Diceros bicornis minor: one gene and its partner. The protein of the gene in region 1 purifies or fractionates together with the protein of each later gene. This does not show direct contact. Links are inferred from orthologs where the notes say so. Each region holds a gene or a part of one and is shown on either strand. Other genes may lie near its edges.

What was found.
Region 2: the proteins of PTPN7 (region 1) and MAPK14 purify together in Homo sapiens (affinity purification with mass spectrometry; 3 studies listed by BioGRID and IntAct, with this or other methods). This does not show direct contact. The link is inferred for Diceros bicornis minor from reciprocal best matches to the Homo sapiens genes PTPN7 and MAPK14.

What each region holds. Positions count from the first base shown.
Region 1 is NC_080777.1:30,264,002-30,275,372, forward strand, and holds the start of PTPN7 (tyrosine-protein phosphatase non-receptor type 7), read right to left. Parts: upstream 4,537-11,371; 5' UTR 4,425-4,536; intron 3,384-4,424; 5' UTR 3,333-3,383; coding exon 3,211-3,332; intron 2,729-3,210; coding exon 2,545-2,728; intron 2,254-2,544; coding exon 2,169-2,253; intron 719-2,168; coding exon 642-718; intron 1-641. UniProt on the Homo sapiens protein: Protein phosphatase that acts preferentially on tyrosine-phosphorylated MAPK1. Plays a role in the regulation of T and B-lymphocyte development and signal transduction.
Region 2 is NC_080753.1:28,810,598-28,821,592, reverse strand, and holds the start of MAPK14 (mitogen-activated protein kinase 14), read left to right. Parts: upstream 1-5,444; 5' UTR 5,445-5,815; coding exon 5,816-5,931; intron 5,932-10,995. UniProt on the Homo sapiens protein: Serine/threonine kinase which acts as an essential component of the MAP kinase signal transduction pathway.

The DNA of each region.
Region 1 (11,371 bases):
AAACAGTGTAAATGAGAAAACAGTGTATCTGTTGAATGAATGTTTCACTTTTACATATTACTTTTATATATTTAGTAGCAAGATGCAGCACACCCTCGCCAGCCCTTCACTCTCCCCTTCAGAATCCTCAACTTCCTGCTCCTCAAGATGATGGAGGAGCACCTGTCCACTGGGTTTCTGCCGCCAACGGGAGGTCACATTCCCCATGGTGTCCCTGGCAAGTGGCTTTTCACCTCTGCCCGCTGTCCTGCCCACTTTGAGCCACTAGAGAGCGCTGCTTTACATCTATTTGGGGCTGTTGGATGTTGGAGGTGGGTGAAGCTGCTTCCCAGTTCCTACAGCTTGCTGTTAAACCATCTCCACAAAAAGGGGCTGCTTGGGGTCCAGTTAAGGCCAAAGAGGCAGGAAGGGGGACAGCTGAGAGCTCCTGTGGGTGCTGGTACCTGCCACGCAGAGCTCGGGAGCGATTAGCCCTCGAGAGGCTGGCGATAGGGTTCAACAATGGCTCCTTCCTCCTCCTTTATAGGATGGGCAGGCTGGGGTAAGGAGACTGGGTGGTCTCTCCTTTTCGGCGTTGTTTAACGTTTGCTCTGTTCTCTCGGTCCCCCATTCCTTGCCCCAGCCGGGGCTGGGTCACTCACCCGGATGTAGTTGGCGTTGATGTAGTCTCCGTCCTCCTGGCTCTGTGCCCGGCCTAGACAGACACGGCTCTGGGGATCTAGGAGATAAAAATCAGTGGAAATCAGAGGCCAAAAGGTGACCATTGCGACTCCGACAGGGCCAGGAGGAGCAGGGCTTCTGCGCTTGTCATAGCCCCTGAGGTACAGCCAGTTGCCCGGTACCCAACGGGTGGTTTCACAGACGATAGGAGCCACAGAATGCTTTTGAGCAGTAGAGTGGCATGATCTAAGTGGCGTGACTTGGGAAGGTAAAGTGGGGGTGCTGTCTAGGGTGGACCAGCGAGGAACGGGACGGAGAAGCAGAGACCTAACGGGATGTTACGGCAACGGTCCAGCCTTGAGACCAGTAAGGGTGGAGAATAGGATTGTGCCCATAGGAATGGAGAAAGAGATGTTGTGGAGGGAGAAGTTTTTCTGACGGTGAATGCGGGATTCAGATGATTTGTCTAAAGTCACAGCGGAGAAGTAGCCCTAGAGCCCGAGTTTCCCCTCACCACCTCCCGCTGCGGGGGAGGGCTTCCCCAGACCCAGTCCAAGCAGGGTGAAGAAGCTGGCTTGTGAGGAGAAGAGAGGAGAGGGGACTCGCTCTCCCAGCCGGCTGGCTCTGGACAGAGGTACCCAGGGTGCCGGGGAGCCTCAGGCACAGGACCTCCCCCACTCTGGCTTCAAGCTGGTTCCAGTTAGGCCAAGAGCAAGGCTGCTCCCTCTGCCTCCACTTGGGTGAGTGCTGACAACCTTTGACCCTCGTGCAGGCAGAGGGCTGGGACCTGGGCACTGGAATGCGGCAGGAGCAGGGAGCCGAGGCCTCAGGCTGGAGGTGGGTGCCCAGGTGAGGCTGCTGTGCAGGGAGAGGAGGGGAGAGAAGGAGAGTCCCCAGGGCCCTCAGCCCGCCTCTGACCCACAGGAGGTGCTGCTCCCCAGGTCTGTCGAGCTTGCAGGGTCAACCCTTCCACTCTGTGATCCCATCTCCAGCCTGTCACTGCTCTCTTGCAATCCCTGCTCTGCCTCCATGGAGTTTCCCAAAGTCTTCTCTCAGGGAGCCATCCTGATGGTGCCTCTTCCTCTGCAAACCCTTGCTGGGCATTTGCCACAGGGAGGAAGAGGAGGAGGAAGGTTTGGTGCAACTAGCTGTGTGACCTCGGGCAACTTATGCAACTTCTCTGAGACTCAGTTGCCTTGTTTGTAAATTGGGGATAATCATACCATAATACCAACTTTGTGGGGTCATTGTGAGAAATGAGTTACCCTAAGGGACTCTGAGCAGTGCCTGGCCCACGGGAAGCATCTGAAATATGAGTGGCTGTCTTCTCACTGGGGTATGGTTATTGCCCCTCCCCCAGCCAGGGCGTGATTTTGGAATTTCTTTGTGGGAAGAAGACACTGAAGGTCAGGTGGCTCATCCCTGGTGGAGGCTGTGTGCCTTGCCTTCTGAACCTCTCCAGCCCTAGGGACAGCGCGGCCTCCCTGGGTCCCGGCCGCAGTGCTTACTTGGCAAGATGGTCTTGTATCTGTCCTTGGAGGCGTGGCCGGGAATATCCAGGTCTTCAGGGCTGACAAAGTTTGAGGGGATCTTCTGGCAGAGGAAACAGTGAACAGCTGACACCCCTCCCCAGCCTTGTCTCCCCTTCCCCTCTCATATAGCAGAGCTGGGCCAGCCATTCCCTCCTGGCGTTGTATGTAGGTCTGGATGGGGTGGAGGGCAGAAGAGGGAGCAGGAGCGGTCTCCTCCCATGAGCCTTGGGGTCCTCTTTCCTAAGGGCCCAAAGAGGAGACATGCCTGCCATGCCCAGGACAGAATAGTGCCAGCTGGCTGCCTCTGACTCAGAAGGCAGAGGGACCTGGGGTGGGGTCCCTGAGTTCTTACCAAGAATTCCTCTTCTAGCTGCTTGGGGCTGGGTGGCTGGTGCTGCAGGGCCCAGCGTGTGAGAGGGTGTCCGGCTGTGCGCAGAAAGTGTAGGGTCACCTCCCGGGGTGTGTTCACTGAGCAGATGGGCTCCACAGCCCCCAAGGACCGCACGTCCAGCATTAGAGCCACATTGGAGCCCCGCCTGCAAGCACAGGACCGGGGCCAGTGAGCACCGAGCACATGAGCTCCTCCTACAGTTGTTATTGTTATGGGTCCTGTCTGAGGAGGCTGCTCCTTGTCTTCCCCTTGACCCAGAGGCCCCGTGGAGTGAAGGATTCCGGCCCCTGTTGCCTGTCTTCCTCCTCAGCCAGAACAGGGCAGCCTGGAACCCAGCCGCTCCCTCCATCTGCCCACCTCTGCCCATTCCTGCCCCGGCCCTAAAGCCTAGACCCACATCCAGACTCAAGACAGCCCCGCTCTGGTGCTGCTCAGCCCAGCCTGGTGGATGTGAGAATTCATGCCCCAGACAAGTAAAGGGCATGTACATGATGTGCAAGCGAACACATCTGGTCTCCTTTCCAGGTTGGAGTCAACAGCCGAGGGCCCTCTGGACTCAGCTGTTGGAGCTGGAGGGGCAGACGGGGCTCAGGGCTGGGGAGGCCTCCCTCCCAAGACAGATCTCACCTCTCCTGCAGCCGCACATGCTTCTTGGCCGGTGCCTTGGTGGGCGGAGGCTGGGTCATGGCTGCCCCCAAAGACAAGGTCAGTGACTGTGCTCTGGAGCGCCCCCCACGGGCCTGGACCATGCTGGGGTGGGAGCTGGGCGCAGGGGAGGCTCACTCAGCCATGGGGTTCTCCTGGAAGACAGGGCCTTTCAGCTGCGGACCTCGGGCCTGCCTGACCGGCCAGAGGGAGGCTCCCAGGCCCAGCAGACCTTCTGCCCCCTGGCACCTATTTTCACTGGGAGTGTCTTCTGTTCCCCAGGCAGTTTTGTCGTTCTCACTGTGGGAAGGCCAAGGTCTCTTCAGGGGACCCAGGGGAGTGGGCAGTATGGGGTTAGAGCAAGGGGTTGAGATTGGGGGTGAAGATAGGAAGGAATCCAGAAGGAGGCAGAAAGGGGAGAAGACGTTGTCAGAGCCCAAAGTGTGTCCCTGGAGGACACACAGCCCATGTGCTCCGTGTCGACTGGAGAGAGGCTCACAGAAGCCACCTCTAAGTCTAGCCAGCGGGCCTTCTCTGAACGGGAAATTTGAGGCCTCTTGCAGCATTGGGACTGGGTGGGCCAGTTGGCCTGCGGGCTGCTGGCCCCTAGCAGGACCCGCTCCTACTCACTGGTCCTTCCACTCCCAGGTTCATCCTGGTGTCTGGGGTCTCTGTCCAGGGAGGGAGGCCGGGGGTGTTTCCTTCCTCCTCTGCCCATCCCCCCCATCTCCCGCCTCTGCAACCGTCACAGGAAATGGCCTCACCAAGGCCTTGAGCGACAGCGCATGGTGAGGCGACAGCTGGGGGCACGCGAGGGGGCATGGAGGTGGTAGGGCCACCTCCTCCTGGGGGACGGTCCCCATCTCCAGGGTCACAGCTTCCGAGGTGGAGGGGGCGTTAGTAGCTAAGCCCGCAGGGACGGAGGTGAAGGGACAGCGTGGGCCGTGCAGAGGCGGTGGTGGAGGGAGGCTCCCCCCAGCAGCAGGAGGGGCTCCTCAGCCTCTGCTCTCGCTGCAGGTCCCTGTGGCTCCCCACCCGCCCCCTCGGGGACGTCAGCCAGGTCAGCACCCCTTCCCCAGCACTGTGGCACCCAACGCACCCTCTCTCACACTCTCCTCCAAGATGCCCTCCCGTCCCCCTAGGGTTCACACCACCCCAGGGCCACGGGACTCCCCCCACCCCATTCAGGTACTTACTGAAGCAGCTGTGTCCCCCGGGCTGCTTCTTGCCAGCTGTCTGTCTGTCTGTCGGTCTGTCTTTGAGGGCTGAGGAGGCTTCAGGAAGCCAGCTTCCTCCCTCCGCCCCTCCTCGCTGCCACCCACGCACACCCCAGCTGCACGCTGCCCTCCTGCGCCTGCCGCCGCCGCCAGGGGTCGGGTGCCTCCTGCCTGTGCCCCTCGGGGGCGGGCTGGCCATGTCCCAGCATGTTTGTCATGGGCCCAGGCCTTCTCCCTGGGACTAGGTGAGGTGGACCACGCCGGTGCCCCAGCTGCCAAACTCTCCTCCTTCTGCAGTGTGCCTCGGGGTCTCTGTCACCTCCAGCCCCTGCCTGCATGCTGGGCAGAGCTCGGCAGACCCCCAGCTCCATGCTGTCCCACAGAGAGCCCAGGTTGCTCTTGTTCCAGCTGAACTGGGCCAGAGACTAGTTCCCACTTCTCTGCTTCTGCTCCGGAACCCTTGCCCTTCAAGCTGTGGGAATTCACGGTCAGCACGGCTGCATCTTCCCAGAGCAGAGGAGCTGCAGACTTGGGTCGGGGTGGGGAGGATGGGAGGTGGGAGTCCTAGCTCCACGTGGGAAGGCAAGGCCCAGGCCGGGCCGGAAGGGTCATCCGGGGCCCTGAACCCCACACCTGCTCAGCTGCCTCTGTCTGACATGGCCAGCCTGCCGGGCAGCAGGTGGCAGAGATGGCTTGTAGGAGAGTCTGGGGGGCTTCCCCTGGCCCCCAGCCCCTTCCATGCCTCCTGCCAGAACCCCGACCTCTACTCAGAAGACTTACAGATAGTGGACGGTCTCTGACCCTCACTCCAGGGCTCTCCCATGTCTTCTTCGCCCCCGGGCGCCTGGACGCCTGGGGCCTGGGGAGTGGCCCCACGTCCAAGACTCCACTGCCCACCCCCGCCTGGCCTCGGCAGCCCCTTTGCTGGCCAGCAGCCTGGCTGGTTCATGCTCACTGCTCATCTCCTTCCACCTTGTAACGTTCCTTCCTCCTGGCCCCCGACACGCACGATCCCCGTCCTCTCTCTTCCTCCCACTTCTCTGATTCAGCCGTCAGACAGTGACAGCAAAGAAGGAATGATGTACAATAGGCACACGGGTGGGCACGCAGGGGGTGGTGGGGAGGGGCTGGCCTTCCTCTGGCCTGTGGGGGAGGAGGGCTGAGAGGAAGAGCAGGATGATCTTCGGCGCTCCGGCAGTGGGTCTGGGACTGGCCCCTTTCCGAGCCCCGAGCTCCTGCTCCGCTGGGGGTTGGTGGCTTCCCTGAGAGGAGGCCGAGCAGAGCTGGGCAGTAGCTGGCTCCGGTGCCCGGGACAGGGAGGAGGGGCCAGGAGCCTGGGAATGCCTGCTGTACCTGTGGGAAGTGACCTGAGGCTGGCCTCGGCCTCAACCACCCCCAAACCCACCACTGTTTCCACTGGTGGATAGTGGGGGCCCTGGGGATCAAAGAGGGGGCAGGAGGGGATTGGAAAGAGGGCCACTCCCTCTGGGCCAAGCTGCTGATGGTTATCAAGTACAGGAAGCCAGGATACCACGGGGTGGGGTGGAGGAAGTGGGCAAAGCCCTTGCCCCACTGGCCCTCCAGGGCCCGCAGGTTTCCCTGGCCTGAGCCCGTTGGCTGAGAGCACACCCCTGCCCTCAGCAGGCCGGCCCGGCAGTGGGTTGAGGAGCTGGAAGCTGGGCTCTGGGGTGGAAAGCAAGGAAGCTGGAGGAGGGAGAAGGGGAAGGTGGTTGGGGATGGGGGTCTTGGTGGGTCATCAGGCAAGACTCTGAGGAGCTCTCAGTTCCCTTGGGTGTATCTGGGGAGGGGGAATAGCCATTCCTTGCCTCCTGCCCACTTCCTCTCCCCCCTCCGTTGAGAAACGCTGGACATCCGCAGAGGTGTGTGACCAGAGCGTGGGAGGGGTGAGGCACCGCCCACAAGCCTCAGGCAGGACAAGACACGTGTCGTCACCCTGCAGCAGCCCTCCCAGCCTGGCCGGGGGCCTGGGACACCCCTCTGCCCTCTCTGGGGTGGACTCGTTCTGTCCAGGCTGCTGGGGGTGGGGGTGGGGCGTGGGCGTCCCTGGAGTGACTCCTCTCCGGAAGCTTCCCTGTTCCCGGTGTGGAACTGCCCAGACAGCTCCCAAACCCTGCTCACTCCGATGCTGATCTGCCTTCCAGGGTTGGGACTTAGGTCCCAGCACCCTCAACTCCAGAGAAAGTACAGCAATAGTTGAAAGCTGAGAGGCCCTGGGGGCCGCGGGTCTGCACTGTAGCTTATTTGCTGTGTGACCTTGGGGAAGCGTCGGAACCTCCCTGAGGCTGTCTCCTCATCAGTCCTCCCTTCGCAGGGAGTGACATCAAGTGGTCTGAGGTCTGTGAAGTGCTTGCCCCCACTGGTGCTCAGGAGCCGTCAGCTGGGGGAGACACTGTGGGGGGCGGGGCAGCGTCTGAGTCTGTGAGTCTTATCTCTCTGCAGACCCCCCTCCTCACTGCCCACTCCCTCCAGCTTGCATTCAGGGAGGGCTGCCTGGGCCCACTGCCTCCCTCCCTCAGTCACTCCGCAGTCCCAGGGCTGCGAGCCACAACCCCACCGTCCGCAGTGTCAGAAGCCCCTCAGAGGGGCAGGTAGATCCGGAGTTCCTGGGGGTTCTTGTTCCCTTGCAGCACCAGGGAGAGGCCAGGCTGCTGCCAGCCCCCAGAGTCAAAGGCTGCCACCCTATAGAATCCCAGAGGGGGGATCTTGGGGACTGGGCCAGCTGCTGAGGCCAGGACTCCTGGGTCCTGTGCGCTCTACATGTTCTGCCCCCTCCCTGGCCCTCCTGGTTCCTCTCCGGAGATGCCCTAGGCTCCCAGGTCCTCCCACACCCCCCAAATCCTGGGCCAGCCCAGGCCAGCTTTGGCCCCAAAGTTACGGGCCCCAATTGGTCCCTGGCTGTGTGATGGAGACAGAGACACAGAGAGACGGGATCCAGAGGCCTCATCCAAGAGGAAGCAGGGGACACCGGAGGAGCCTCGCTGTGAGTGGGGCAGAGAAGTGCTGTTAGGAATGTGGGAGGGGGTCTGGGCCAGCGGGTGTGAGGTGTGAAGGAGCAGGGAGATCCCCTGGGCGTGTCCTGGGGCCCTGCCTCTGTGCAGCCATCCCAGGTGCCCAGCCCCCTCCGGACCCAGTTTCCACGACTCCTTCTGGGTGCCTGCTGGTGAGGGGAGTTTCCATCCCCTCCCCTCCCGGCTGAAGGACCAGCGACTCAGGCCAGCCCAACACCAGGGCAGTTCCAGGGAAGAGCCCCATTTTCTGCCAGGTGGCTGGGCCTCAGGTCCCTCGTAGGAGGACTTTAGGACAGCAGAGAGTCCCTCCCTCTCTCCCCAGTCCAGAGCTGAGGAAATGGACATCTGTTCCCCAACACAGCCCTTCCTTTCCAGGGCCCTCCTCTCCCCCTGGTCCCTCCGTGACGTCCCTGGACGCCCATGCGTGCACCTCCATCCAGACAGGTGCATGCACCCTCGCGGCTCACTGTGCACTCGCACACACACGCCCAGGCTGCTGGCATAACCGTGCACAGCCTCTCGCGGGCCTTGCTGCCTTCCCGCGGCCTGGTCAGCAGGCCCTGGGCCTCCCCTTCCGGGGACCTTCCCCAGGGAGTGGGAGGACAAATGGAAGACTGGGCTGTCTGCACCACCCCACCCCTCCCGCCTGGCTGTTACCTTCCCCAGCATGGGGGTCCCGAGAGATGACGGCAGGGGCCTAGGCTAGCTGCGGGGAGAGCCCAGGCTGGCGCACATTTGGGAGCAGGACGCCTGGACCTGTCCCCTGCCCTCATCTGCCTCTGGGCCGGCACTCTCCAGAAAGAATCAGTAGGTGCTCCGAGACCTCGGGAGGACCTGGGGTTCTCCAGGGAGAGGATGTGGGTTTGTCTGTGCCAGTGGTTGCTGGGGAGGAGACAGCCTCGTGGTAGGTATTTTGCTGAATGGAGAGCCTTGGGCTGGGGAGGCTGCCGCTTCTGTCAGGCCTCTCTGCACCCTCCAGAGCCTCCCTCCCATCCCCAAGGCAGCCCCAGGCTGGCTGGGGGGCCGGCAGGTGGGCCTTCTCTGGCCAGGTGCCTTCTCCAGGCTCTGTCCACAGGATGAGCTATAGCGTCTGTGTGGTTCCCAATGGGTCCCTCTTTGTGGGGATTCTTGGGAAGGGTCTGAGCCCCCCTTATCTGCAACCATGTCTTGCTGCATCTCTTCTCCTAGAATCTGAGTTAGGATGGTACCCCCCACCCCCCACGTTTGCCGCTGCTGATGGCGACGCTGCCAGAAAGAGCACAGTGAGGTGCCCCAAGGTGAGGCAGGATGGGGGGCCGCCCTTGGCCAGACTGGGACCTCTTCCCTCTCACATTGGTTTTCCTAATTGCTCTCCCCCCACTTCTTTTGAAAGAGCACATGCATGCACACACACACACACACACACACGCACACACGCACGGCCTGGAAAATCTGATGAGTCTGCAGGGCTGAGTTTCCAGGCCCCCATCCAGGGACCAGGTGGGTGGCTCTGAGGTTTGGGGCTGGGTGGAGCGGGGGCGTGGCAGGCGGGCCCTAGCTCTGGCCTGAGCTTGTGTCCATGCAGCCTGTCCTCCCCACAGGGCTGGCCTGAGAGCCTGGCTCCCACAGAAGCTGTCTCGGGGTTCAGAGTTTCTCCACCTGCCTGTTTTGCTGCAAATTTCCCCTCCCCACTTCCTGAGTTAGTGTCTCAGTCCCCGACTTCTTTCCCAGGGCCCAGAGCCTTCCTTCTTCCGCTCTCTTTCCCCTGCCCCCTGCCCCATGTCAGCTGTCTTGGGGGGCACATAGCGAGCAGCTGGAGGTGAGGAGCTGGCTCTAGGCTGGGGTGAAGCCTCAAGCTCCCCATCCTCTAGGCCAGGCCCCAGGTAGGCTTCCCCAGGCTTTGTGGTGCCTGCTGCCAGGTGGGAGCTAGGGGGACAGGGGGACAGGGTGGGCACCTCTGAGCGAGGAGAGGAGGTGGGAAGGCAAGCATAGGTCCTAGGGACGTGAGTGGCTCCTCAGAGCCTTCCGAGCTGAGAGGCCACCAATTTGGGGGTTCAGAGCAGGGTTTGCCACGTCTGCTCAGTGGAGCCGGAAGTCCCAGGTTCAAGTCCAGCTCATCTCCTCACACGTGTGGAGTCCTGGGCTGGGCTCTCCCTTCTCTGGGTATCAGCCTCCTCATCTGGGCGGTGAGGGCGTGGGACCAGATGGGTGCCAAGGGCCAAGTGGGCTCTGCCAGATCTACACTCACCAGATCAAGGCCTTTAGGGTGTGCGCCTGTGCCTCTGTCCACAAGAGCATGGGGTCACATGGATACACAGAAGGGGCCACACGCTCAGAGCTGCTCCGTCTGCCCAGCTCACAGCAACACACAGCACGCGAGGTCACCGAGTTCCCTGGCACCCTCTCCCTCAGGAACGCAAACACCCCATCCGTTGCCCACATGCTGGTAGAGTCCAATCACAGTCCCCTTCCGGGGTCCAGGAGTGCAGAGCCAGCTACCTCTGCCATGTGTGTCCACTTGCAAGGCCATTCCTCCTCTTGGTCTTTCTGAAGTGTGCAGGGCATCTTCCTCCCTGGAAAGCCAGCTGCTGGGAGTAAGGGGGAGGTGGGGGAGGCAGAGGTAGGGTAGGCTTGTCTGAGCCTGAGAGTTGAAATCCCTTTCCACATTCTGGGTCCTGAGCCAGTCCAGGCTCTCTTGCCGTGCAGAGCCTGGCCCAGGCTGGGTGGGGTGGGGGTCAGGGTCTGGGGTTCAGAGGTAGCTGCTTGCTCTCACCACCTGCCATCCGCCTAAAATCTGATTTTCCCTCCCTTGCCAGCCAGCCAGCCAGCGGGGCAAGGGGAAGGTTGGGGGGAGTGGCTCCTCCCCCGCTGCCTCCCAACTTTCCTTTGAAGGCATCAGGATGAGGCCCCCAGTCCTGTTCCCTGCCCTCCTCTGGCTCCAGGGCTTCTTGGCTAAGGTAAGGTGGGCATTGGGGACGGGAGGGTGGGGTCCCTGCTCTCCAGGGCCAATTCAGGCCTCCCACCTCTCTTGGGGCTGCACAGCTGGTCTGCATTAGGCAAGACAGAGGCTCCCCCTTCCCACCTGCCAGCAGGCAGGATGGCAGCAAGAACAGTCTGCTCCTGGCGCCGGCCGCCTCCCACCTCTTGGGTGTGCCCGCCCGCGACGCCCCTTTGGCCGTGTCTCGGGCAGTCTTGGACAACAGGACAGCTTCCCCCTGATCCCACCCTGTCCCCACTGGCTTTCATATGGGCCTGGACCCTAGAGGCCTCTGCCCATCTCCTCCCCTCTCCTTCCTATGGGAAGATGTGTGCCACTCCCTGGAAGGGAGCCCAGCCGGGGAGAGTGGAGGTAGGTGTCTTCAGAGGGGAGGGGGTCTGGGAGCGAGGGGGGTACAGGAGGGAGGAGGGGGTCTGGGAGGGAGGGTGAGGGGCTAGGAGGGAGGGAGGGAGGGGGTCTGGGAGGGAGGGGGGTGTCCAGGGGCAACTTCTCCGCGCAGACTCTGCCTCTGCTCTGCCCCTTTGCCTCACCTACTTCTTTAGGGCAGAAGAGGCATGGGGAGACTCTGAATGCTCCCCCTTTGCCCCAGGACCACCTCTGAAAATGAACGTCAGCAGAGAGGGGAGGCCAACCAGCCTCTTTTTGAGCTGGGCAGCCCCAGAGCCGGGCGGGTTCAGCCACGCCCTGTGCCTCACCTATCTGTTCCCCTCAGTTCTCCCGAAGGGCAGCTGCTCCAGGCCCACACCAACGTGTCCAGCTTTGAGTTCCAGGGCCTGGTGCCAGGAAGTTGCTACCAACTGGAAGTGACCGCCCTGCGACCCTGTGGGCAGAATGCCACTGTCACCCTTACTGTCTACACTGGTGTGTGGCCTGCAGGCGGGGGGCGGGGGGTGTGCAGGCATTGACTGGGGTCTGAGAAG
Region 2 (10,995 bases), on another chromosome or scaffold:
TAGCAGAGCCAGAATCTCAACCCAGTCTTTCTGATTCCAAAATAGATGCCACGTTCAAATCCCATGTGATCTCCTACAGAGTGGGAATAATAATCCCAACCTAAAGGGACAGGGAAGGCCTCCCAGGGGAGATATAACTTGAGTTTCACTCTGTCTAAACTGGGATCAGGGAGGAGAACAAAGTATTTCACGAGTAGGATAAAATTACAGAGATAATAGAAGGCAAGCAATACAATATATCTGAGTAAAGTCAGTGTCAAGCCCAAAAAAGTAGGTTGAGGCCTATTCCTGGAAGGTCTTGAATGCTGGGTTGGACCTGGACTTTTTAACTGTTTGAGCAGGAGTAGTAATATGCACAGAGACATGCTTTGGGAAGATTAATCATGTCAGTGGTATGGTCTAGAGCTGTGCTATCCAGTACAGTAGCCACTGGCTACCAGTGGCTATTTAAATTTAACTTAATTAAAATAAAAAATTCAGTTCCTCAGTCGCCCTAGCTACATTTCAAGTGCTCAAGAGCCAAAGGGCTACCGTACTGGACAGCGCAGGTGTAAAACATTTCCATCATCACAGAAAGTTCTATTGGAGAGTGGAGCTAGGAGAGACTGAGGCAAAAAAGACCAATTGGAGACCATTACTATTATGGTAGTCTAGGGGAGAGGTAATCAAGTTGTAACTCGTGGCACCACAGTGAGCAGGGCTAGAAGGGGCAGGTGGAAAGCTGTCTTTAAAGGCCTCATCACATGACTGGCTAAAGGCAGCAAAGGGAAACACAGGATTTCCTTATTGGTTTTGTTAGTAGTCATCTCTGGAGTTTCTCCAGCTCCATTTGTCTTGCTTCATTTCATAGAAACCCTAGTGGTTCGTTTTCATGCACCAGCAGAACTCTTCCTGACAAGGTATGAAGACCAGAAGCTCCTACTGACAAGTAGCAGGGGCACTTTGGTGTGGAGAAGGGGAGGCATTTCAGAAAAAAGTGATCTCAGCTACACTGATAATGCTCTTTCAGCTGAGACAACACAAGAGGGAGTCTCTGTGACTGGCTCCTGAAGACATCAGTGTCAGGGGCCTCCACATGCAGTGTTATCAACAGTAAGCTACGTTCCACCTATAATCTTCAAGATAAATGTCCACTTAGAAAACAATTCCCTGATGCTTCCTGCTTCCTGCCCTGATGCTTCAGACAAAATATTTAGGTGGGTGGACCATGGATCTGAACTACTTAAGGTTTCATTTTCTTATTCTACAAATGTGACATAATTTTGGGCCTCTAGATTCACTACTAGCTAATAGAAATTAGTTTAATCTCTGTAGCCCATACTTCTTCCTCACACAAATAGCATCCACATCATCTGGGAACTTGTTGAAATGCACATTGTCAGGCCCCACCTAGTAAGAATTAACTAGAAACTCAGGATGGGTCAGTAGTCTGGTTTAAGAAGCCCTCCAGGTGATTCTGATACATAATAAAGTATGAGGACCACTGGAAATGTAGCCAATTATCTTCATCTAGTCAGTCTTTCATTGCTAAATTTGGGGGCACTGTTAAAATAAAGGCACTTTTGACCTAGCTCATTCATCTCCCATACTACCCCTATCTATCCAGCCATCCATTGATGTATTTACATAATGTGTTGAAAGTATTTTAAAAGCCAAGAATAAAAAATTTAAATGCAACCCAATTTTCTGACTATTGATTCAATAGATGTGAAATCCTGAACCTTAGTTTAGTTGCAAGAATATCTCTCCCCTGATATCGTCATCTTTCATATGTTCTCTATAATTGTGGGACGGTAAAATTCACTTGCAAAATTTCAAAATAAGCATTTGTAATTCCACCAGAAACAACAGCCCTTTGCCCATTACTACCTACGTTTTTGTGGGGAATGTACATGGAATACACAAAAGGCACAAGCAAAGAGCACTGCGTTTAGTACCCTTAAGTCACTCTGTCTAGTGGCTGGGGATGAATAATAAAGATGGCAGCCCTCAAGGAGCTGACCATTGGACAGCTGACCATCAGACGGCTGACCATCGGACACATAAACAACTACCTTTGATGCCACGTGGTGAGAAGTATTAACAGTGGGGTGTGTTGGAGAGAAACTCACTTTTGGGGTGGGGATGTTGGAGAAGACTTCCCAGGGGCACACTGACGCATAAATAGGCCTTGATAAGAGAAAGGGGCTCAGTGGGGTGGGAGTGGGGCCTCAGTCAGAAGGAACAAAATGAACAAGAGCAGTGAAGTCCGAAAGTACGAGGCGCGTCTGGGCTGTCAGGCCTCAGGAGGAGATGGGCGGGGTGGTCCGGTGACGCTTGGGCAGCAGATCAGTTCTGGGGCTTCTGACAACTCAGACGAACGAGTTGGAAAGAATTCAGCTTGCAAAAGGCACGCACTGTCTCTTGTTATTGCCATTCCATGCAGCCTTTCAAAAGTAGAGACAATACCTCTGGGAGATAAGCTCCCAGGGACGACCGTCATTCATTCATTCCACAAATATTGACTGAGCGCCCGCGAGGCGCCTGGCCCTGCCGGTGACGGACGCAGCCCCGCCCGCTGTAACGAGGGGCTGGTCCCTCGCACCCGGACGCCCACAACCTGCAGCCCCGGGCACCCGGGCGTCCCCGGCAGCGGCTCACCTGGCTCCTCGGCTGGGGCGGGAGTGCGGGCGCTGGGGTCAGACGCGGCTCCGGCAGGCTGGCGGCGCTCCAGGCGGACGCCGGCGGTTCCCGAGCCGTTGCGGCCGAACCCGGGGGCGTTGGGGGGCGGGGGGGTGTGGGGAGCAAGGGGAGAGGACAATAGTCTGGCGGAAGAAGAGGAGCATGGGCAGCTGGGGTGGGGAGCGGCGAGAGGGGTACTGCCCTCCGGTACCTGGACCGTGGGAGCCCCTTGCCTGTGCCACCCGGGCCTCCACTTGCCTCGAGGTTTGACTACTCTTGATTGAGGGCCTACTGGATGCATACAGTAATTCACTTAAATCTCCTGACGACCTGTCAGGTTAGAAGATGCAAGAGGAAACCGGAAGCCAGAGGGTCACCAGGTCTCCAACCCTAGCCCCACAAGCCTGGCTTCCCTCGCTGAAGGACACTCTCCTGCCCAGGTCTCTCGCTCTCCTCCACCGGCTCCTCCAACCTCCTCCTCCCGAAGCTCAGGCCCTGTCACTGTCTCGCACTACCCTTGTATTCCTGCCCAGTTGCAGTTTTACTCTTGCTTGATTACTGTATTAATAGTAACATATCACTCACCTTACCTATTCCTTTTTGTAAACTGTCTCACTCCGTAAGGGCAGGTATTTTCATCTATTTCATTAACTGCAGTATCACCAGTGCCTAATACAATGTGGTAGATATAAGTAAGTGCTCAATAAATGTGTTGAATGATTGAATGATTGCCCTGCTAAGTGTAAGCTCCATGTAGACAGCAACTGTGTCTGTTTTTTATTTTTATTTAAAAAAAATTTTTATTTATTTATTTATTTATGTATCCCCCAAAGCCGCAGTAGATAGTTGTATGTCATAGCTGCACATCCTTCTTGTTGCTGTATGTGGGACCCGGCCTCAGGGTGGCTGGAGAAGCCGTGCGTCGGTGCGCGCCCGGGTTCCGGCCGGGGCCGCCAGCATCGGACCGCGTGCACTTAACCGCTAAGCCAGAGGGCCGGCTCCTGTGTCTGTTTTTTAATCACCTTTCCATCAGAAGTGCCTGTACCTAGTAGGCATTCAATACACAGTTGTCGAATGAGTGAGTGAAGGTACTGCTCACTTCATCTTTACCCTTTCGGTCACTCTCACCTCATCATCCCAACTTGTTGGATAAATATCTGGATTTCTTAGGATTCTGCATGCAAGTTTCCCCTCTTGCATCCATCCACTCAACACCTTGATTCCCACTCCCACCCGTCATGTCTTTACAGCCACATTTTTGCTGTCACTTCCTCCTTCAGCTTCTACTACTTCTTAGAAAGCTCCCTAACATGCAGGCTGGCTTGGAACATTTTCAAGCAGCGTGTTTTCATAGGCATGAGAATCAGGGTAAGTCACATGGAATCCAAAAAAAAAAGCTTTCCACGAATCGCCTATGACCCTGGTTTGGAGTTTTATTTATTTTTTCCTTGAGGAGAACTGAGGATCCTGCATCACCTCCTAAATTGAGATCATGGTCATTGTTCATAATTTGTTCAGCAAATATTTATGGAACACCTTTTATGTTCTAGACACTGTGCTAGATGCTGGGACAAGATAGGCAAAGTCTAAGCACTCCAAGGAATGTATAACACAAAAGAGAATGACCATGGGAAGTGATAAGGAGTGTCCTGGCTTGGACTTAGTTATTTCTAAGGGAAATAACTAAGAGACTAAGATAGGGTCCAATTCTTCTGCTTATTGCAACAAGCTTCAGCATAGGAATAGGTTGGTAACAGTGTGGGTAGGTATGGGGTTATAACACCTTGCCCATTCACATTTATTATCTTGTTGAGCTTTACAAATGACCCTATTAGGTGGGAGTGTAAGGCAGGAATTCTCTTTTGCATCAACTGGAAGTGAGGTCTAAGAAAGGTCAATTGACTTGCCTAATGTGACACTGCCAGAAGACCACTCTCTGCCCAGTTCTTCTTCCTCTGAGAGGCATGAATCAAATGCTTAAAATCCTCGTCACTGGAAGCTCTTCAGGGCAGAAGTCAGTTTCAAACCCTCAGGGTAATGGTTTTAAAAACGCTTCTCAAAGGGAGATGCCAGAGACTTTCCTGAATCAGAATTACCTGGAGCCTATTGTAAAAATGCTCATTCTTGGTACCCGTCAGGGACCTATCCAATTAGATTCCCTGTGGGTCCTGGGAATCTGCATTTTTAAACCCCCAAGGTGATTCTTCTGCACATAAAAGCTTGAGAACTACTAGGAGAGTTTGGGTGGAAAACCTCAGCCTTAATGCAGAGCTAATATTTGCTTTGGGGACAGATTTTTGTGAGAACTTCGAACTAAGCCATATGTCCTTGAGCGGATGGAATGCAACGGCTTTCGGGCCGAAAATCTTTCTCTTTTATGTGCAAGTACTTCTTGGAAATTGAGGGTTCCGCTGAGCAGTCGCTCGGCTGCTGGTGGCTACCCAAAGTTCAAAGATCGTTTGGCTCTTTTCCCGACACCCTATTTGTCACTGTCGCTTTCCACCACGGGGCCAGGCATTTGCCCCACCGACCACTGTGCGGCGCACGCGGCATGTGTTGCCTGGGGCACCCCTCTTTCCCGGGTCCGCCTTCGCGCCTTTAAGAACAGTCTCTGGGAGTTCCTCCCTCTGGTTGCCAGCTGTTGCTCTCTTCTCGCGAGAACTGCTCCTCCCGTCCTCTCCCCTCATCAACCCCCTCCCATGGGCAGGTTCCATATTGGGTAAAATCTCGGCTCGCGGAGAGTCCCGGGAGCTGTTCTCGCGAGAGTACGGCGGGAGGCTCCTGTTCGCTGGCTTTGGAACGGCGACCACTGGAACCTCCCCGGGCGCTGCAGCTGGAGCGGTAGTCCTGCGGCGCAGCCAGAGTCGGCCTGGTCGGGGAGAGGGTGCAGGGAGAGCGTGGCGGGCGCAGCCTTGAGCCCCGGAGCGCGCCTCTGCCCTTAGCAGGACTCGCTCCTGTGGCTGAGGCGCGTCCAGGCGCTGCGGTGACAGCGGCCGCGCGCGCGGGAGTCTGCGGGGTCGCAGCAGCCGCACCTGCGCGTGCGGCCGGCGCGGGGTCCCCGCCCGGCCGGGCGGGCGACGAGGGCCGGGAGCGGGTGCGGGCGCAGGCGGGTCCCCGCTGGGCCACCTCCTCGCCCCGCGGCCGCCGCTGGAAGATGTCTCAGGAGAGGCCCACGTTCTACCGGCAGGAGCTGAACAAGACAATTTGGGAGGTGCCCGAGCGTTACCAGAACCTGTCCCCGGTGGGCTCCGGCGCTTATGGCTCCGTGTGGTGAGTGTCACCGGGCTGGGGCCGCGGTGGGCTGGGTGGCCCCTCATGTCCGAGAGCCAGGCCTGCTCCCACGGCTCGGCGATGCACCAAGCGGCAGGAATTTTCCTTGGGGGAGGCCATCGATACCCCTTCGACCCTTGTCCTGCACGCCCTGTACGCCTTGCACCCCTCACCCTGCACGCCCGGGTAGGTGGTCGACCGTGTGCAGGACGCGGATCCGCGGTGGGTGGTGGTGCTGGAGCTCGGCCCTGGCTCGCACCCTGTGCGTTCCCCTCTTGGGGGGTTGCTGCTCCGGGGACAGGCGCCGGCGGGGGCCTCTCTGCGGGGTGTGTCTGCTGGCGCCGAGCACAAGGACCCTCCCGGAGGACTCCGGGTGCCGGAGCCCGCCCTCTGCGCAGACAAGCCCGGGAGCTGCCGGGAGACGCAGAAGGGCAAAGCCCGACCGGGAGACTGCGGTCATCCCAACGAAAATGACGACGAAGGGCGTTCTCTCCGGGCCCTTTTGCAGACCTCTGTCGAAATCCCATTTTCAGAAGCGTTCTTTTTGAATTCGCAGCGACCCAGAGAGCTTAAAATACCGACTTTATCTCGGGGAGCGCGGTGCCAGCTTGAGTGGTGTGTTTCCGATTCGGTTGAAAGCGTATTTCCTTTCCGCAGAGGGGGGGTGGGTGGCGGTGCCTGCAGGAACGCTGCGCTCGAGAAACTGGCGGCCTCGCTGATTAGTCACAGACCACCGCTCATTTCAGTATTGTTGGACACAACAGTTTTCTCATTTGAGCAAGTGAGATTCAGATCCGTTGGACGCTCTCAAGATCAAAAAGTTGTTAACAATGCTGGGAGGTATTGTAAATATTTTTTAATTGCGATAATTCTTGTGAGTACTGTGTTTTTAGACTCCCTTAGAGAGTTTGCAGGGAACTTATCTATCTTTATAGCCTGAGTACGCGATGGTTTTAATAAGGATATAGAATATATAGGAAAGGAAGGAAGAGGCATTTTTCACCTGTAATTCACACTGTGGGTTTTAAAATAAATTGATACCATAAGATTTCCCGACCTGAAATATTTCACTAACTTCTCTGACTTTCAAGGTTTTATGCACTGTATTTTAGATTTACTATAATTTGAGAGCTTTGAAACTAATTCGTGTAATTCGTGTACGTGCGTCGTTTGAAAAAGGGCCTATAAAATTACTTTTTGTTTCACAACAAATTCCAGGCTTTTGGACGTGTTAATCTTTAAATGGAATTCCTGTGTTTCTTAAAGTCATATCACGAATTTCCTGTTTGGTAGAATCTTCTGGGTAATTGAGATTGTGCAATTGCGTCCAGCAACAGATCATATTGCATTTTCTAGTTCAAGCTGCTTGAGTTATGTTGTTGATGGTACCCTGCTTGATATCTTTTTCCCATTTTTATAGTATGGCAGTTTGCATTTTAAGGGAATTTGCAGCATTTTTATATATATATGTATGTTATTGATTTGCTAATTTTCAGAGATATATTTGGATCATTGCTCCTTTAATAGCTTATTAGTTTGCCTCCAGTTTTCATTCTTGAATTGACATATTAATATCTGTAGTACCAAGTTTTTCTTTCCAATGAAATTTAAATTTTAATGGAGTGATACGGCAGAATAGCTCAACTATGAGGAGTTTAGTGTACTTGCTTGCAAGGTTGCAAGAACTGCTTGCAAGGTTTCCTAACTGTTGGTGTGAAGAGTTCTGCACTGGAACTGGAGGTCCTGATTTACAGTGAAGTGCCTTTAAAATGAACTCCATATTTCTTTATACTATTCTTTTCTAGCTTATAGAAGCCAGCAATATCTGACCCTTGGAAGTAATTTTCTTAAACAGGTTTTTAAAAATAGATGATACATTCACATTGTATAAAATGCAAAAGGTATAAAAGAATATTCAGTGAAAAGTGTCTTTTCTTTTCCTGCTCTCCAACCATGCTATTCCTTTCCTCAGAGACAACCACTTGTTAAGTTTCCTGTGTGTCTTGCCAGGGAGGCAGAGTTTGTTTGTTTGTTTCTTAGTAGTATTTCTGCTAAGGGGATTTAAAGTGTAACCTATAGCATGTTGGCGAGGAGGATACAACTGATACTTTGTGATACTTTGTGACAATGGACTGTAAACAAATGTAACTGATTTTGGATTGAAAACACAAGTAAGTGTTATCCCATTCAGAGTAGTTATTTGAAGTTGTTCTTTCAATTAGCAACTTTTCAGGTGTGGCAGAAAACATTGTTTTGGAACTTTTCTTAGAATCCGTTTTGGAGCCTGTGTTATTATTCACTGTCTTCATCCTTTGAGAGCAGTTTTGTTGTAGGGAATAACAAAATCAAATTGAATCCAAATAATTTAGAGAATTTGGGCTCAAGTCTGGTGAAAAAGATTAGGCAATCAGGTTGGTGATACTGTTTTATGTCAGATAGGAGTTGTGACTATAAAGCAGTGACACAGAATTTCTTGTATGACTTGTAGAACTGGATCTAAAGTCTGTTCCAAAAAAGAATCTGAAAGTATTTTAAGGAATGCAACATCACTGAAATATGTCAGTTTCCTAATTTGCCCTGAAGTGTGATACATGTTGATGTGTAACTTAAAAATTTTTTTTATATTAAACCTATTTTCATTATTTTAATTTGTACCAAGTATACAGTAAAAAAGCAAGTAGCAGCTTGTGTGATAACCAACTGAATCAAAGATCAAGGAATCAGACTAGAAATTTGAGAATTGATAGGGTTTTACAAATAAGCCTTTCCTTTTTAAGGGGTAAAGGGAACTAAACTAAGTCTTGCAGTTTTAAGGAACTTTGTGCATTGTCTGTAGGGGAAATGAAGCAGAATTGTTAAAGAATGTGTTGTTGCAAAGCATTGATTTTGTGGTTTTGGGACAGAAGGGGGGCATCTTTGTGGTGAGTTTAAGGAAACATAAACAGGAACTTAAATGCCTTTCCTTTGGGGTATGGTTTTTCCAGACCCTTGCTGTTGATTAGAGGATTTGGGGCACTGGTAACCATAAAATAGGTGAGAGTTGAGAATTACTCTTAAATCGTATTCAATTGTTCAACAGTATTTATTGAATACCACCTCTGGACCAGGTAGCGGGCTGGGTTTCTTGAGATGGAGTGCTGAACAAGACAGAATAAGACAGTCCATTGCCTCAGAGAGCTCATAGCCTAATAGCCTAATGGGAGTAATAACTGCATTTTACAGATTGCTTACTGTGGTTCCAGGCATTGTGCTGTGCAGTTTGTATTTATCGTTAGTATATAAAATATATAACAAGACTTTTAGTAAGAGTATGGCAAAATTTACTAAGAAATCAAATCCAATTTCCTAAATACTTTGTGGAACAAATTGTATATAAATAAACATAATACAAATAAATGAAGCTAATTTTTTTTAGTATTAATGGCCATTCACCATTTAAATTTTTTTTTTTTTTTTTTTTTTAGAATGAGCCAGGGTACAAATAAATAAAAATATGTGGCTATTGATTGTGCAAAGATGACTTTCTTGACCCTGATCCATGAGAAGGGTGTGCTCGTCACTTTTCTAGTGGTGATAACAGGCCCATGCTGATCTTCCTTCCCATTTGCTTTTCTTTGTAACCAAAAGCAAGGTGATAGGCTGTGTGTTACCAGTGCCAACCAATAAATATTTAAACATAATGGCAAATATTTGTATTATTGATATATAAAAACTTTTAAGAAAGAGTTCAGTCAAGTTGGCTATAAAGTTGTATTTTATTTATCAAATCCCATTTTTCCACTGATACTTTTCCACTGGCTCCCATTTTAAATTAGGGCTATCCTGGACCTCTGGCTTTTCAGTTCTGCCAGTTTACTTTCCTGATGCTGAGAAGTACTCTGCTTTTGATTTTCCTCTAACTCAGCCTCAGATGATCTGTGTGTTGACTTTGCCTTTCATGGGCAACAGTGCAGATGGTGCTGAGCCCCTGGGGCTTAGGAAGCTCAAAGGTGGAAGAATTCACTGGGCTAGATCACTCTCACTTGAGTATTAACTGACATTTTTATGGGATTTTACACTTTATAAAGTATTTTCATTCAAAGCCTTATCATTCAGCCTTCACTAGTTCTATGAAGCCTGGTATTACTAACCCAGTTATATAGATGAGGAACTTGACTCATTCATTAAAGGAAGGGCACACTTGTCAGTTCTACTTTGGATTTGGTTCTGGGATTACAACACTTTAGAAGCCTCCTTTCCTGTACGTGCCGGCTGCTGAGGTTGTGTGGTGTCATCTTCTCTTGTGCATTTTGCCTCCTCCATCCCTCCTTCTCTGAAGAAAGAGGTTGCTGGGTCACTTGCAATAAGCTGTGACTGTATGAAACCAATCCCACCAATGTCATTTCCCAGCTAATCTGAGGGGTAAGGACTTAACTCATTAAAGTCACATCTCTTCCTCAGAACTGATAAACCAAAAATGAACTCATTGCCAAGATTAAATTTTTTCCCCAGAGAATTATTAGGCAATGCAAATAGTTATTTCTTGAATTTATGAATCCTGTTGATTTGAAAATTTTCAATGTGCATTTTGTAAAATCGAAACCATCTGTACATGTTTGTGTTATATGAGTATAGGTTATAAATAGAAATAACTGCCTCTTTAGGCCTTTGAAAATACATTGGGTTTTTGCTCTTTACTGTGAAGTTTGGTATTGATTTGTTCCTCTCCAAGAGGTATAATTACTGTAGTGCTCAAAAAAACCTCATTATAAAGTGGGTTCCGCTGACTTGGAACCTAGGGATTTGTCTCATGGTTGCCATGTACTTGCAAGTCATGCACATGTTTCTTCAGGACAAAAAAAAAAAACTCTTTAAATTGGAAATGTTTTTTGTAAATGAAGCTTTCAGTATTAGAAGTAGTTTGTCTTGGCATAGTACTTCCATAAAATAAGTACATATGTGTTGAGGATATATAAAATTAAGCAATTTTCCAGCATTTCAGCTTTTTAAAAATTCATTCTAGGGAAGAAGAAGATGGTAGTCTGTCAATTCTGCACTTTTGACAAATAGGTCCCAGATTCTGAC